Linked DNA regions of Astyanax mexicanus. The protein of the gene in region 1 interacts with the protein of each later gene in a pairwise test. Links are inferred from orthologs where the notes say so. Each region holds a gene or a part of one and is shown on either strand. Other genes may lie near its edges.

What was found.
Region 2: the proteins of myotonin-protein kinase (region 1) and hspb2 interact in a two-hybrid assay, tested with the Homo sapiens proteins (2 studies listed by BioGRID). The link is inferred for Astyanax mexicanus from reciprocal best matches to the Homo sapiens genes DMPK and HSPB2.

What each region holds. Positions count from the first base shown.
Region 1 is NC_064427.1:29,513,346-29,520,400, reverse strand, and holds the start of myotonin-protein kinase, read right to left. Parts: upstream 3,001-7,055; 5' UTR 1,338-3,000; coding exon 1,139-1,337; intron 1-1,138. UniProt on the Homo sapiens protein: Non-receptor serine/threonine protein kinase which is necessary for the maintenance of skeletal muscle structure and function.
Region 2 is NC_064408.1:26,484,923-26,492,290, forward strand, and holds the start of hspb2 (heat shock protein beta-2), read right to left. Parts: upstream 3,003-7,368; 5' UTR 2,850-3,002; coding exon 2,756-2,849; intron 1-2,755. Other genes in the region: cryabb (crystallin, alpha B, b), read left to right, coding at 4,223-4,414, 5,295-5,417, 6,082-6,285. UniProt on the Homo sapiens protein: May regulate the kinase DMPK.

The DNA of each region.
Region 1 (7,055 bases):
CACTCTGTATGACTTCAGTATAGGCCTGTCACAATAATTATGTTATAGTCTTATCGCAAAATATATGGACATAAGCTCTATAATTTCAGTTGACATCGATATTGCCCATGGTGTTTACTAACGAGGATGGCACATTAACATCACTGCGCCTATATGGGTTTTATTTAATTTATGTTTTATTAATGATCTTATCTTGATATTTAAAAGGGAGTAACTGATTTAAAGTGGTCCAGATGCTGCCAAAATGATCTGAGATCACCAGTTTGAATCCTGAGTTAGGAGGTGTGTGCTAACCTTTGCCCTCTTAGTGCTATGTGTCCTTTGTGGGATCACAAAAACAATTAATTCAAAATAGGCTGTTTTTTCAACTAAGTTTGTATATTTATATATTAATGAAGAGTGAAATCTCTGTATAAAATGTGTGACATTACCAAGAACCAAATATCAAATTATTAAAATGCAATACTTTAAATACTTTAAAACATTTTAGACAGTATAGCTATATATTTTTATATATAGAATGATTACAACAATATTTAATATTATATTGCTCCATGATGCAGGTTTTGGGATGTTTAATGTTTAGTTTTCATTTTTTTTGTTTACAGTTCTGCTCATCATTTCTAAGTCATCTATCTCCTAAATCACCTTTTCAGCAATTATTTAAAGCTAGTAAACAGTACAGGATAGTACAGGAAGATGATAAATCCTGCACCTAACTACTGGAGTTCTACATAGGGTTCATTCCTTTACCCAATACTCTATACTGCCAATCGCTTATCTATAACTACATGACAATAACAAGACCCTCCACCTGATCCAATCCACAACATTTAATACTAACACAAAACACCTAACCATCCTTTCATCCATACACTTATCATCCATTATGCCGCAAGCTCATCACAGTTGTCATCAGGTAGGCACCTCCCTTCATCAGTGCTTTGCTAAACTAGGCCCACAACAGTCTGGGGTCCCAGATTTGCCCCCCCTCCTGGCCCACTACGTAACTTTTTAGCCTATTGGTAATATAAAAAATCATTGTCAGCATTGGCAGATTTGGAATAGAGGTATACATACACACAGAACACACACACCCTCACAGAAGGAATATGAGATAAGAAGGAATGGCACTGACCCCACTGTAGGAAGCGGCTGATGTATTTTTCTCTGGATGGGCTGGAAGACTGGAATTCCTGGTAGACGCCCACCAACAGGTCCAGTAGTGTCTGTAGGCCTACCGGGCCCGAGGCCCCACCCTCCCCAGCACCTCCAGACTCCCTCAGCACCTTCTCCCTTGGCACAGGGGCCTCTCGGGGCCCTGGGCCCGATGACATGGTGGCAGAGCACAGCTGAGGAGCTGCGTTCAGCCCCAGCTCTGATCCATATTAACCCCTGAAGAAATAGTGTCTGTTCCTGTTCCCACTGACCATAAATCTAACCCTACACTAACCCTAACTGTAACACACACTCTAATACACACACTTACATAGGCCTGAGTGCACCCTGTCCTCTGCTGTCCCACAGATGCTTAAGGTTTTAATGCCCCTCACAAATCAGTCTGCGTGTTTCTCTGTTTCTGTCTCTCTCTCTCGTTCTCGCCTTATTCTTCTCACCCCGTGTCTGTGAGTTTGTCAAGCAAGCAGTGATTCCAGTGCTGGCTCAAGCCCTTTTTTGGTGTGTCTCCCTCTCTCTCTCTTACTCTCCCTCGCTCTCTCTCTCTCTGTGGCTTTCTCTAGTGTTCTCTATTCTCTCTCCACCTTCCTCTCTCTTTCAGGTGCTGCTATTGTAATACACTAACCAGCTCTTCAGTTCCTGATTTGTCTCAGTTCCTCTTTCGGTACGGCTGCCTAACTTACTAACCTCTCACACTTTCCCAGCTGAAGTACAGGGGTCCATACAAATTCTGAGGAGACCCCAAAGCCTGGAGACCACTTTCCGATCCAGACGCCCACTTCATCCCATCCCTCCTTCATCAGTGTCCTCAACCCCGGTCCATGTGTTTCCTCTGTGTGGAGGCTCTGTCCTGACCAGCAACAGCTGCTGTGCTTGATTCTCTCTCCGAGGGTGGAACTCTCTCTCTTTCCTCTCTACTTGTTGCCCTCCCTCTGTTGTACTTTTCTACAGCACATTGCCTCCTCACCCCTCCTCTAGCTTTCCTCTGTTTATTAATACTCGCTGCCAGTTCCATGCACTCTCTCTGTGCTTATTCTCTTTCTCTTTTTCACCCCTCTAGATCAGGAAGCATCGTGGTTGGGCTCTTCTATGACTCTGAATCATTTTACATCACATCTGATGATGTTTGCATTTGATTGGTTGACAATACTTTGGTGTTTAGACAACGGACATGTAAAGGAGAATGATAGGGCAGACTATAAAAAGCAAATATTTACTTATTGCAGACTGTAGGTTTGTAATCTGTTTCTATGAATACTTTTTAGCCTCTTTTTACACTGTTCTTAGTTTTTCAATTGTCAGGACCACCACCAAGCAGGTATTATAGAGGTGGTGGATAATTCTCATTCTGACACTGACACAGCAGTGTCCAAAAGATTTCACAGGATTTTTGTGCCCAGAAATCTTTGCTCATTAAAATGAGATCTTACCCAAAACCGTACCTAATTAACATGTACAGCCCAATATTGTGTCTGTTTATTTTGTTCACAATTTTGTAGACACATTGCAGATAAATTTGAGTAAATTTAATGAGACTCTTGCCCAGAAATCTAATAAATAAATACATTCCTATATTAATAAAGTTGGTTTTAGAGACACCGTGCAGCAGTGAATTTAGTTTAGAAAACATCAGCCATTTGTTTGGGAATGGGCAAGTATTAAACCGCTAATACAATAACCTATACCAATAATGGTGGCTAGTTAGCTAGCTATGCAGTAGGACATACACAATAAATGTTGCTAAATTTATTAGGCAACAAGCTAACTACCTGAAACTGTAGGTTTTCACATTAAATGGCTTATTTGTCCAAGCTAGATTCGGCAGCTAGACCTTAGCTTGCTGGTGCACGAAGGCTAACTACCTGTTGTCTAGTCGGCGTTGTAGCTGGTTCCCGGGGTCACTAACGGCGCTTGCCTAATGCTCCAAGCCCGGCCAGCGGAGCCGAAATTACCGCTAGCCTGACGCTCTAAACCTTGTCGGCATTGGTCATGCTGCAAGCTTGCGCAATACTAATGCCGCTACCCCGGCGCTCCGTTCGGTGGGGTTACAAATGCGGTGGGGTTACAGATGCTCCAAGCCCGGTGGGTGGCGCCTTTAGGTAGCTAGCCCAGTGCTAGGTAGCCAGTCACTAATACCCCAGCGCTCCTAGCCCGGTGGGTGGGTCGCTAATGCCGCTTGCCCAACGCTAGCTAGCAGGCCAGGTCGGCGGCGCAGCTAATACCGCTAGCCCAACGCGATTGTTGGGCTACACCAGCGCTCCAATATCGGCGTCGCTAATGCCGCTTCGTGCTCGCTTCAAGCAATAGAATCGCCTCCGACGCTAACAGTATTATTTGGGTGGTGGATCTCAGCACTGCAGTGACACTGACATGTTTTTTTAATACTTTTTCAAGAAATAAATTCTTACTCTTATTATTCTTACTGTAGAAACATCTTAACATTACTGACTGGAGAAACATATTTTGACATACAATTTGCCATTTTTCTTAGGAATAAAAAATAATATTTTTATTAATATCAGTTTAAAATTTGTAGTAAAAACACTCAGAGTGGTAGCACACTTTGATAAGGTAATCAAGGTTCCTTCAATGAAAATATTGTCAACTTTATTAGCGACTAGACATACAGACATTAACAGAACAAACTGTGATTTCAAACAACTTGTATTAAGCTAAGCTGACATTGTATTAAGCTAAGCTAAGTTAAATTGTGAACAACAGACACCAAAGCATACAGCTGGGCATCTGGGCAGTACATTCTATTTGATGCCTGCCATTCGGTATGGTGACCTTAGGCTCATGTGTGACCTTTCTGTTCTCTTTTATTGACCATGCATGTCTGAATATTAAAAGATAGTATTTTGAAAAGGCATTTATTTTTGGAGAATAGGAGCTATCCAGAAATCCTTAGTTTTGCTAGCCAAGTCTCTGTTGACATTCTAAGTTGACATTTTAACGTCCGCTGAAAATGAATCTCAATGAAGCATTCCTTTGGCAGTGATTCCACTCAACTTAACATTGTTTTGAAGGAGACTATGATTTTGTTGTTTTATGTTTTTTTTTTTTTAAACAAATCTCACTGAAAGCGATTACATTAATCTAATATTTTTACAGGTAATATATTTTGTAAAGGTAACATTAAACCACCTTGAATTACACGGGATAAGAGGTTACATGGGATTTCTAATTTAGGCAACATCAGTTTGTATTTTTAATAATTAAAAAAACTTTTAATGAGATTTTCTATAAAAAAAAAGATTACATTTCGATTTACTGTAAGCTTATTTGCTTAAAAGTGACAGAGCTCTAAAACTGAATAAAAAAGGACTAAAACTGGCAAGAAAGCTGATGAGATATTTTTATTTAAGAGTGATTTTACCTTCATGAAAATGTTCTGTTTTGTCCATAGACCTATTCTAACTTGTGCAAAAAGAGGTAAAATATGTCCCCTTTAATTAGTTGTGTAATGGAAATGTATTAAATATTTTTGTGCAGAGATACTAATCTTGATATGATCTTATATCTTATGCCCTTTCAGGTTCTCCATAACTTCCAGCACCCTTGAACTTGAACCCCTGGCTTGGGGAGACAATAGTGAATCATATGCTGCCTGAATGGTGTATTGATGCCATCTACAGGGCAGAAAGGGTAATAAGCTTAAGTTTTCCCTTTATATATTTGAGGCAGTTACCTCATAATGCAGATCAGATAATTAGATACTTATCCTGACTATCCCTAGATAATTATTCTGACATAATTAATTAAAGGAAAAACTAATTTCCTAACTTAAAAGTGCACCTACTACTGATTAAAGGAGTTTGGTTGTGCAAAAAAAATGCAGCTTTCCAAAATATTTTGTCTACAGTTGCAAATATGGACGTCAGTGATGGGTCCCACCAGGGTTTTAGATGGGACAAGGAGGGGTTAAAATGGCCCCCCTCTGAGTTGTACTCTACACATGGGGCCTAGAAGTGACCCATGGAAAATTAAACTGGGCTGTCATGACTGTGGACAAATTTGGGAAACCCAACTGGTACCCAGTAACGTCACATACGCAAACCAACTCTGCGCCCATGTCCACCTGGAACCCACCTAGCCCATGTTCCAACAATGTGAGCCTCACAAAAGCATGTTGTATAGGTTGTATAAACTCCATAGAAAAATATTGCTTATTAGACAGTAATACTTTGGAGCAGCAATGGGCCAACATTAGCCTAAAGCTGCGATGCCCAATGCCAAGTGCCCAGTGCCAAGTGCCCAAGTTTGGGTTTCTGGAATTAGCATCCTTATCCTGCCTCACTGTGGGTTGGTACTAAGTATCTATGCAGGAGATGCGTACGTTGGTCTCGGTGTGGCGTCATTTGGAAGTCTTTAATTACATGAGACGGAGAGCTTATAGGATCAACAGGGACAGAGTGTGAAAGGAGGGGTAGAGAGGGAGGGAGAGAGAGAGAGACAGATAGAGATAGAAAGAGAGAAACAATAGCCTACAAGCTGAGAAGCATTACGACATTGGCTGGGCTGTGTTGGCTGGAGGTCAGCAGTCTCTTGTGGATAACGCTTGGCTGTTTGACAGTGTTTTCAGAATAAAAGGTGCTACAGCAGCAGCAGGACTGACAGAGTTGCTTTCAGAGCTTCTGGAGTCTGAGAATAAACCAGTACAGGTGAGTACAAAGACACACACACTTAAAATAAAATGGACCTTAATTACAGCACAGTTGTTGTTTTAGTACATAACTTTAAATACGAGTGCATTACATTTACACAATCACATATAGTTTGTTTTCTGGGAACTAAACATATGTTTTCATTAAAGTGTAAAGTTTCATTAAATGTAAAATTCATTACATGTTTATTGCTGAATAATGCTCTGTATTACCAAGGCCTTCTACACAATAACAACCTTAACAATATATGACTTGTAGTAACATGTAGAACCATGTAGTAACAGGCAATTGAATTGGATTTATTCAACACAAATACTTTCCTTAAATTTAGTAATGTTTTATTTGTAGCATTAATTTCAGTTAAATAAACACAAATTACTGTTTTTATTATTAATATATGCATATATGTTTTGGATGAACAGATAAACCATTTTTACAGTGTAGAATAGGAGTGTGTCAGATGATTATTTTCCAAAACTGTGTTTTTCTGATAACAGATAAGCCAAAATTCAATCATGGATTGTCTTAGACTAGGTTATCCAGGCTTTACTGAGAAAATCCTGCTTTATGAAAAGCCACAGAATAAAAACACTGTATAAAACAATGAAACTGTTGGTGAATTGTCCTAGAAATGATACTCTGGAACTAAATTTGGGAATAGCATTTTTGATGAATTGTGTTGGTAAGGAATGTCACTGCTTGGGAATTCCTTTTTGAGGAACACGTAATGACTGACCATTGTTGGGGACTTGTAGTGATAAGGAAGGATGTGAAACATTGTGTGGAATAGCAGTGTTAGGCAATTGCAGTGATAAGGAAGCTTGCGGTGGAAGTTTGTTTGTAAGGAATAGCATTGTTGGGGAAATTGTATTGTTGAGGAATGTCAATGGGGAGGATTTTAGTAGTAAGGTATAACTGACTATTGTTGGGGAATTTACCTGAGTAAATAATGTAATTGGTTAACATCTTATGCCCATGATTTTATTACTCCCGAAGGACTACTAGTACGTAAACAAGATGCAAAGCGATACAATGCAACTAACTCAAAACAGCCAGAAACCATCATTAGTTTAAAGGGGTTTAGGTTGTTAAAATATATACAGCTTTTAGGAACTTTCTTGATAATAAATAATTTTAATGGATAATTGTCACAGTATAAACTGACAGTAATAGGGAATAGTCTTATAAATTATACTGGGGAGAATTACAGTG
Region 2 (7,368 bases), on another chromosome or scaffold:
TAGCACCTTGATGTCATAATTAGGAGTGGGTAATATGGCATGATATTTCAGGGTATAATATCGTTCACCATATTCAAAAATATTAGCAATATTATTGTCTACGATACAATATGTCACACCCCTAATCAGAACAGTATTCTGATTTTCCTACTACATCATCAGATCAGGCAAAAGTTCTCACAGTATGGGAAATGCTTATAAAACAAGAAAGTTTTCTTTACTTTGCATTTATTTCACTGTAGTCATATTTATTTAATTTGTTAATATACACCCATTCCTGCATTTCAGGCCTGCGACACATACCAAGGGACATCCATGCATTGCATGACAATGCAAAACCTTATGCTGCACACATAACAAAGGCATGGGTGCAGAATAAGAGGGTATCGTGCTGGACTGCCTTGACCACAATACAAAATGTGAGAAAAAAAATTAAAAGAAAAATGCAAAAATGATGACCATTTACTGTTAGACGTCTTAAGATATTGTTGCAACAAGAATTAACCAAAATAATGCCATTTAATTGCTTGCTATGCCCAGTGCCAAAACGTCTTTTAAATATTGTGAGAAGGAATGGCAATGTTGCAAAGCGGTAAATGTCTTAATGTCGCAACTTCTGTGGAATGTGTTACAGGACTAAAACACAGAAATAGATGTACAGCTCTGGAAAAAAATATGAGACCACTTAAAAATGATGAGTTTCTTTGATTTTACCAAATTGAAAACCTCTGGAATATAATCAAGAGAAAGATGGATGAAGCCATCAAACCAAGCTGAACTGCTTGAATTTTTGCACCAGGAGTGGCATAAAGTTATCCAAGTTATGCCAAGATGCATGAAAACTGTGATTAAAAAACTAGGGTTATTCCACCAAACATTGATTTCTAAACTCTGAATATGAACTTGTTTTATTTGCATTATTTGAGGTCTGAAAGCTCTGCATTTTTGTTGTTATTTCAGCCATTTCTCATTTTCTGCAAATAAATGCTCTAAATGACATAATTTTTCATTGGAATTTGGGAGAAATGTTGTCCATAGTTTATAGAATAAAACAATGTTCATTTTACTCATACATAAACCTATTAATAGCAAAATCAGAGAAACTGATTTAAAAAACTGAAGTTGTCTCTTAATTTGTTTCCAGAGCTGTACATTAATACATGAAATGAAGTTGAGCAGTTCATATTGTAATGCAATTAAAATTGTAAATGTAAGAAACACAGTGTTTTATTATTATTTGCATTCTGTATACTGTCCCAACTGAATTGTGTAGTGTTACAAATGCAGTTAAGTTGTTCAAATGCTGATCAATATAATTTTAAAATATCAGTTACGTCTAAACATCTCTCTGGTGTGGACATAACATTTAAAGCAGTTTTAAGCAATACATAATTCTTCTTCTGATATCATTGTGCATATCTAGATTTTTGTTAATCTACTAACTGAGTTCACTTCCTCATAGAGTTTGCCTGACAGTACCATAAAAATAGAACGTCCCTCCCCTCTATAAAACACCAGAAACTCTTACATCAGGTCTAATTACAAACAGTGTCAGCAGCGCAGGTCAAGCGTCATGTTTTTATTTTGATCATATACTGCGCCCTTATCTTCATGTATATATACTACCATTAATGACACACACTGTGGTTGCTCAGTGCTGGATATGAGATATTGGTTCATATTCAGTCCAGCAGTGGATGACAGTTATTTTTGTGTGGTAGCCTTGGACTCTTTGTCATGTGTGGTATTCTAAATATAAATCCTAGCCTGGGCCTTATATTTCCCTCCAGTATAAAAAGCTGTCATGGGGGATAGTGGATCAGGCAGTCATCACTTCAGTTGGCCCTTCTAGTGCAGGTTCATTGGCAATTAAACAACTCATGTTAACTTCATCCTCTGATATCACAAGTCTGCTGTTGAAGAAGTAGGGCAGTTCATGCAGTTTAAAAAAGTAAAATTTTTTCTTATTCAAAATGAAAGAGAAACTTTTTCTTCAGCTGTTGTTGGTTTAAAGATATTATTGAGTAGCCCATATCTTGTGAATGAAAAATAATGCCATTGATAGAACACCTTGAAGCAATTTATCTGGATTTATAAGACACTTATCATAGTTGCGCCCAGAAGGAATTAACTGACAGGAAGAAAATTTGGCGGGTAGTTGTGACAGGCTGAAGGATGGAGATAACCAACGTATGTGTGGAAAGTGCCAAGATCAACAGTTTGCTGTCATGTGTTGCACATCTATAGGGCCTGGTGTCACCAGAACACCTCTACAGTCAGTTTTAAATGCCCAGGGTTACATTAATAACGTCCTTCAACCAGTGGCCAATACCTTTTCAGAATGCACCCTGCGGTTCAACAGAACAATGCTCATTCATATTCTACTGCCATTTTAAGAGATTTCCAAAAAAAAAAAACACAACACCAGACCTATCCTTGATTAAAAATGTGTGGAATTCTATTGAACATGCTATAAACTCCACCTCTTCTGCAAAATTTGTTGAAATATTGTTAAAATTTAAGCTGCATGGAATAGTTTATTGCAGGAGACTGTTAGGAGACGTCTGGCTTGTTTACACATTACACATGCATTACACACTACTTCAATATGTGTAGCTCAATAAATACTTCCCACATCTTAATCCACGTCTTAATTTGCAATCATGTATTGTTGCTGGCAGCTTTTATCTTCCCTCCAAATAGCATAGCAATCTGAATACAAGTGAGCTTGACTTTTGATTGAAGATTCTCTTACCTTCTGCAAAGTTCTGGTCATAAATCCGTGCAGGAGTACACATCTCATAGTTCATACTCATGGGGTAAGCATGGGGAACGGTGCGGTCAGCCATGCTAAAGCATGGGCCGGGTGTCCAGTGCTGGTGAAAATGTAGCAGTCCTTTCAGGTACAACAAACAGGCAGGATTGTAATGGAGAGTACAGAGAAAAGAGAGGCAGCAAGTCTGTGCCCTAGTGCCTGGACCTTGGTAATAAACGGGTCCAGAAATAGCCTGTGGCGCACACACACGCTGGTGTTGCATAGCCTAAAGGGGGAGACACACTGAGTGATATAATTCTGGGCAGTGTTTTGGGTCTCTTTATTCAGAGTGGTTGGCTTTCTTCTAAAGGAAAGTAAATTAGCAGCTGTTCTGAGACTCATTGGAGTTAATGGATGAGTTGTCAACTTGGGGCAGCCACATATACACATAAAAGTGAAAAGGTCAGGAAGTCAGTTAAATACCCAAGGGTACTGTCAATGTTATGTCGGTGCATATCTAGAATTCTGCATAATATTCAATAGAATATACAATAAGTCATGGAACAATAACTAGTTTAATGTACCATGAAAGCTAAAGACTCCTGCCCTGCCCTGTAGTATATGTGTGTAGGTCTCCTGCATTGAATGGGTTTCTACCAGAGACGCGTGTATGTACACATAGACAATTCTAGCCAGACACTGCCGGTCACAATCATTACCAGCCACTGAGAGTGGGTAGGCCAGAGTGGGTAGGAGATGACTGATGACGGACTGTGCTGCTATGCCGACTGCGTAAGTGGCACTGTGCCGGGTGCTTGTGCCAGTTTGACTAAGCCCGCTGAGGCTGGCGGGCACCAGGGAAATGCTTCTTTGCAAGCACATTGACTCTGTATGGTGCTCAACCCTGCAGAATGATCCCACAACCATTCACCATCAGCCCACCGAACAAACTGGCCTCGCGCCCGGTGTTCTGCCGAAGACAAAAGACCCTCAAAGGGGGTTCAGACCTCAAACTACATAAAGCCAAATCAGGACATGAACATGATAATCTGCTCTGGCACACAGCTAGGCTGCTTGGTCCACAGTTTTTGTGCCAGAAAAGCCAAAAAACCAAAGGCTACACTCAGCACCTCCCATTAGATTCTGTATGGCAAAGTTTCCAAATGGGTATTCAGAGCAAGCCCTGTAATCCGGCCGGCATCTGCCTGAATGAAATCACACCACCGGTTTAGATAAATACGGAGAGAGGTATCTGGTAGAGAGGGATGAGACAGCTTGCAGAGGAGAGTGGGAGGGACGCAACGAAAGGGGGGCCATCAAACAGTTTACATCATTGTTCCAGAAAGATCCGCAGCTGGCTGGGCCTGGCTCTGTGACTGCTACTGGTGGTGTATATAAGTGGGCAGGCTGGGCAGACAACAGGTTTTTCTCCAGGAGGACAACGCTAGCCTTAGGTCAGAAGACGAAATGGACGTCGCCATCCAGCATCCCTGGTTCCGCCGCTCTTTCTGGCCATCCTTCTTCCCCAGCCGGATCTTCGACCAGCATTTCGGGGAGCATATCCCAGAGAGTGAGATGTTGACCCCCTACCCCTCATTGTATTACCCACGACCCTCTTTCTTCCGCTTACCTAGTTGGGTGGAAAGTGGGCTATCAGAGGTAAGCAGCTCTGACATCTGTGTATTTCTCCATGGTACATTCTATAACTCTATAACTCTATAAATCTACGTAATGTACGGCAAAAGGGTAACCTCGGCTGGAGAACCCCATACTGGAGAACGGTGTTGCCAGTGGTGTTCTCTTAATAAATGACACAGGGACTAATAAGGAAAAGTTATTTGAGAAGGTTGCTTTTGTGGATTCTGAGCTCCCTGCCTGGAGGTGAATTACCATTAATCTAGAAGACAGCTTAAGAAACCCTACAACAGGAAAATTAAAATGTGTATCTTACAACATTCCCACTGCTCTGAAGGACCATGCAGGACAAATGAGCAATATAAATGTGTGTTCTGTGAGTAGTTTTGTTGTCACCTCATATTACTCCTCTTACAGTGGCCTTGATTACAATAAATTAAGCACAATTATTTTGTGCTTTTCTCAGGCAAGTTTAAAGGGTGTTCATTGTCAACTTTTCCTTGCAAGAAGCAATTTTAAAGATGCCATTTTATCAATATGTTTGGTGATGAGCACATGTTGCTGCTGGAAGGCTCAGTGATTTCCCTGTAATAGAAGTCCTTTCCATCTCTGTCACTAAAGAGCAAGAAAAGAAAACAGATAACAGTTTTTTGCATACAAAAAGTTTATATATTTTTTTATTTTGTACTATATCCACAATAAAAACAACAGTAGTCCACATACAGAATAACCCTGCCATACAATATTATAATGTTAAGTTCTAAACAATGTCTTGTTATTTCTAGCAAATCATGTAATCATGATTATGTAAACTGTGTTTTAAAATTGGAAGGGAGCACTTAAGCTACATAAAACTGAATACTGGAAATCAAAACACATTCATGTTTTGTGCTGTCTTTTATAGATGAAAATGGAAAAGGACCGTTTTACCATCAATTTGGATGTAAAACACTTTGCACCTGAGGAATTGGCAGTTAAGGTCAACGGCGGTTACATTGAGGTTCATGCTAAACACGAGGATCGTCAGGTAAATACAAACAGCAGTGGTTTCTAACTCTGGTTATGGAGTACCCCTGTCTTGCAGAATTTGGTTAATAATTTTAACTTAATTGGATTTAATTAATTAGATTTAATTCAATTTAATTATTTTGATGTAATTCATTGAATATAATTTAAATAGATTTTAGACCAGTTTAGATTGATCGAATATGGTTAAACAAGAAAAACATAAAAAAAGTATGCCTGTCAAGATAAGAGATTTTATTAGACAACATACTGTCCCATGAAGTGCAATTAACAATATTATTGTAATTCTATGACTATTTTATGTCACTGATTAGAATAATGATAGAATAGCACAATAATGCAATTAAACCCATTTAAAGAACAATAAATTGTTAATGATTCAGACAATAGAAATGAAATTAGAATATCTTGAATAAATAAAACATAAATAAAACAAAAACAGATGTCCATACATTATACGATAAGTTAATATTGTAATTATTACGTATAGGAAGGGGTATTTTTCTCAATTTTTCTCCAACAAACCTTTTTGTCAAGTTGGTCCACTCTTATTACAAGCATTGACCTTCTGATGTAAGCGTTTTGTCTGGCTAACACTGCTCTAATATCATATTTCAGTCAGTATTCATTGTTTAATGCCTGTAAATGTATATCTTTTTCTCCAGGATGACCATGGGTTTGTCTCACGAGAGTTCCTACGAAAATACCGGCTCCCTCTCGGGGTCGACCCAGCCAGTATCACCTCTTCACTCTCTTCAGATGGCATCCTCATGGTTGCAGCCCCTCGCAAGCTCTCCGATGAGCCTGAGCGCTCCATTCCCATCACTCGAGAAGAAAAGCCTGCTATCTCTGGCTCACAGAAAAAGTAAAGCTGCTAGATACTTGCTCCTTTCTGTCTCCCCTCCGCTGTGGTCCCCCTGCACTTATCTTCCACCTTCACATCCCAAGTCAAGCTTTGAGGAAAAGCCAGTGCTAGCATTGAGCTGAACCTTCTAGAGGCTTGGCCTTTCCAGAGGCTAGTCCTAATCAAAGGGCTCATTTCTGAGCTAGCTAGTAACTGTTCTAGCACATGTTTCTGTGCTAAATAGTGATCACTGAATTGTCTAATTCGGTTGGCACATCAAAACCGTGTCCTCAGAGATATGTACATCATTACACCACAGGAGTATTGTTTGTGCCGCTCAGCCGCTGGACGCAAAACACATTTTGCTTCAGCAATCCCAACCACAACCACGCCAAACAAAAGTGCTCTTTGTCTTTTACAGCCAGTCAGTGGCAAACAATGGTGGCACGGAGTAGAGAATGGTGAGGGATTGAGTGTAGGAAGACTGGATGTTTGAGCATTTTTGTGATCAAGCGGTGAAAAGAAATTAGCCTACGAGGAAGAACACTGTGAGGGAATTTTCACTGAGGTAAAAAATGTTGTTTGTTTGGTTTCAAACGTTTCATGTGAAGTGGGAGGTGGTGTGCCGAGGAAAAATGAGTATGTTTCGTAATTTGGTACTTCCTTTTCATGATGGACTTGGGACCAGATGATACATGAAGATCAAGTGCAGGTAGCAACAAGGTGAGGAGAAATGTTATAGAAAGAAAGTGACCTCTTTTTTTTGGTAGTTTCTGTGGGATTCTGTAGACATGACTTTTCATTGGTTTGGATGGATTGATATATGGCGTCTGGAAACATCTTGTTATAAATGGAGCAGTGAATCAAATATGATGAGGTTTGGTTTGATATTGAAAAGCTGCGTTCCAAAGTCTAGATTGGCTCCATTTCTCAGCCACTTTGTCATAAAAGCCTGTCATAAGTGAAGGGCTCTTCTTATACAGCCTACAGCTGAGAAATGCAGTCAGGGTTTGGAGCAATAGACCTTGGAGTGCAGATAGAAAAAAAATGGGGATGTGGGAATTTGGTGGAAGAGATTATAATTAGTTAAAAATTATTCAGAGGTGTT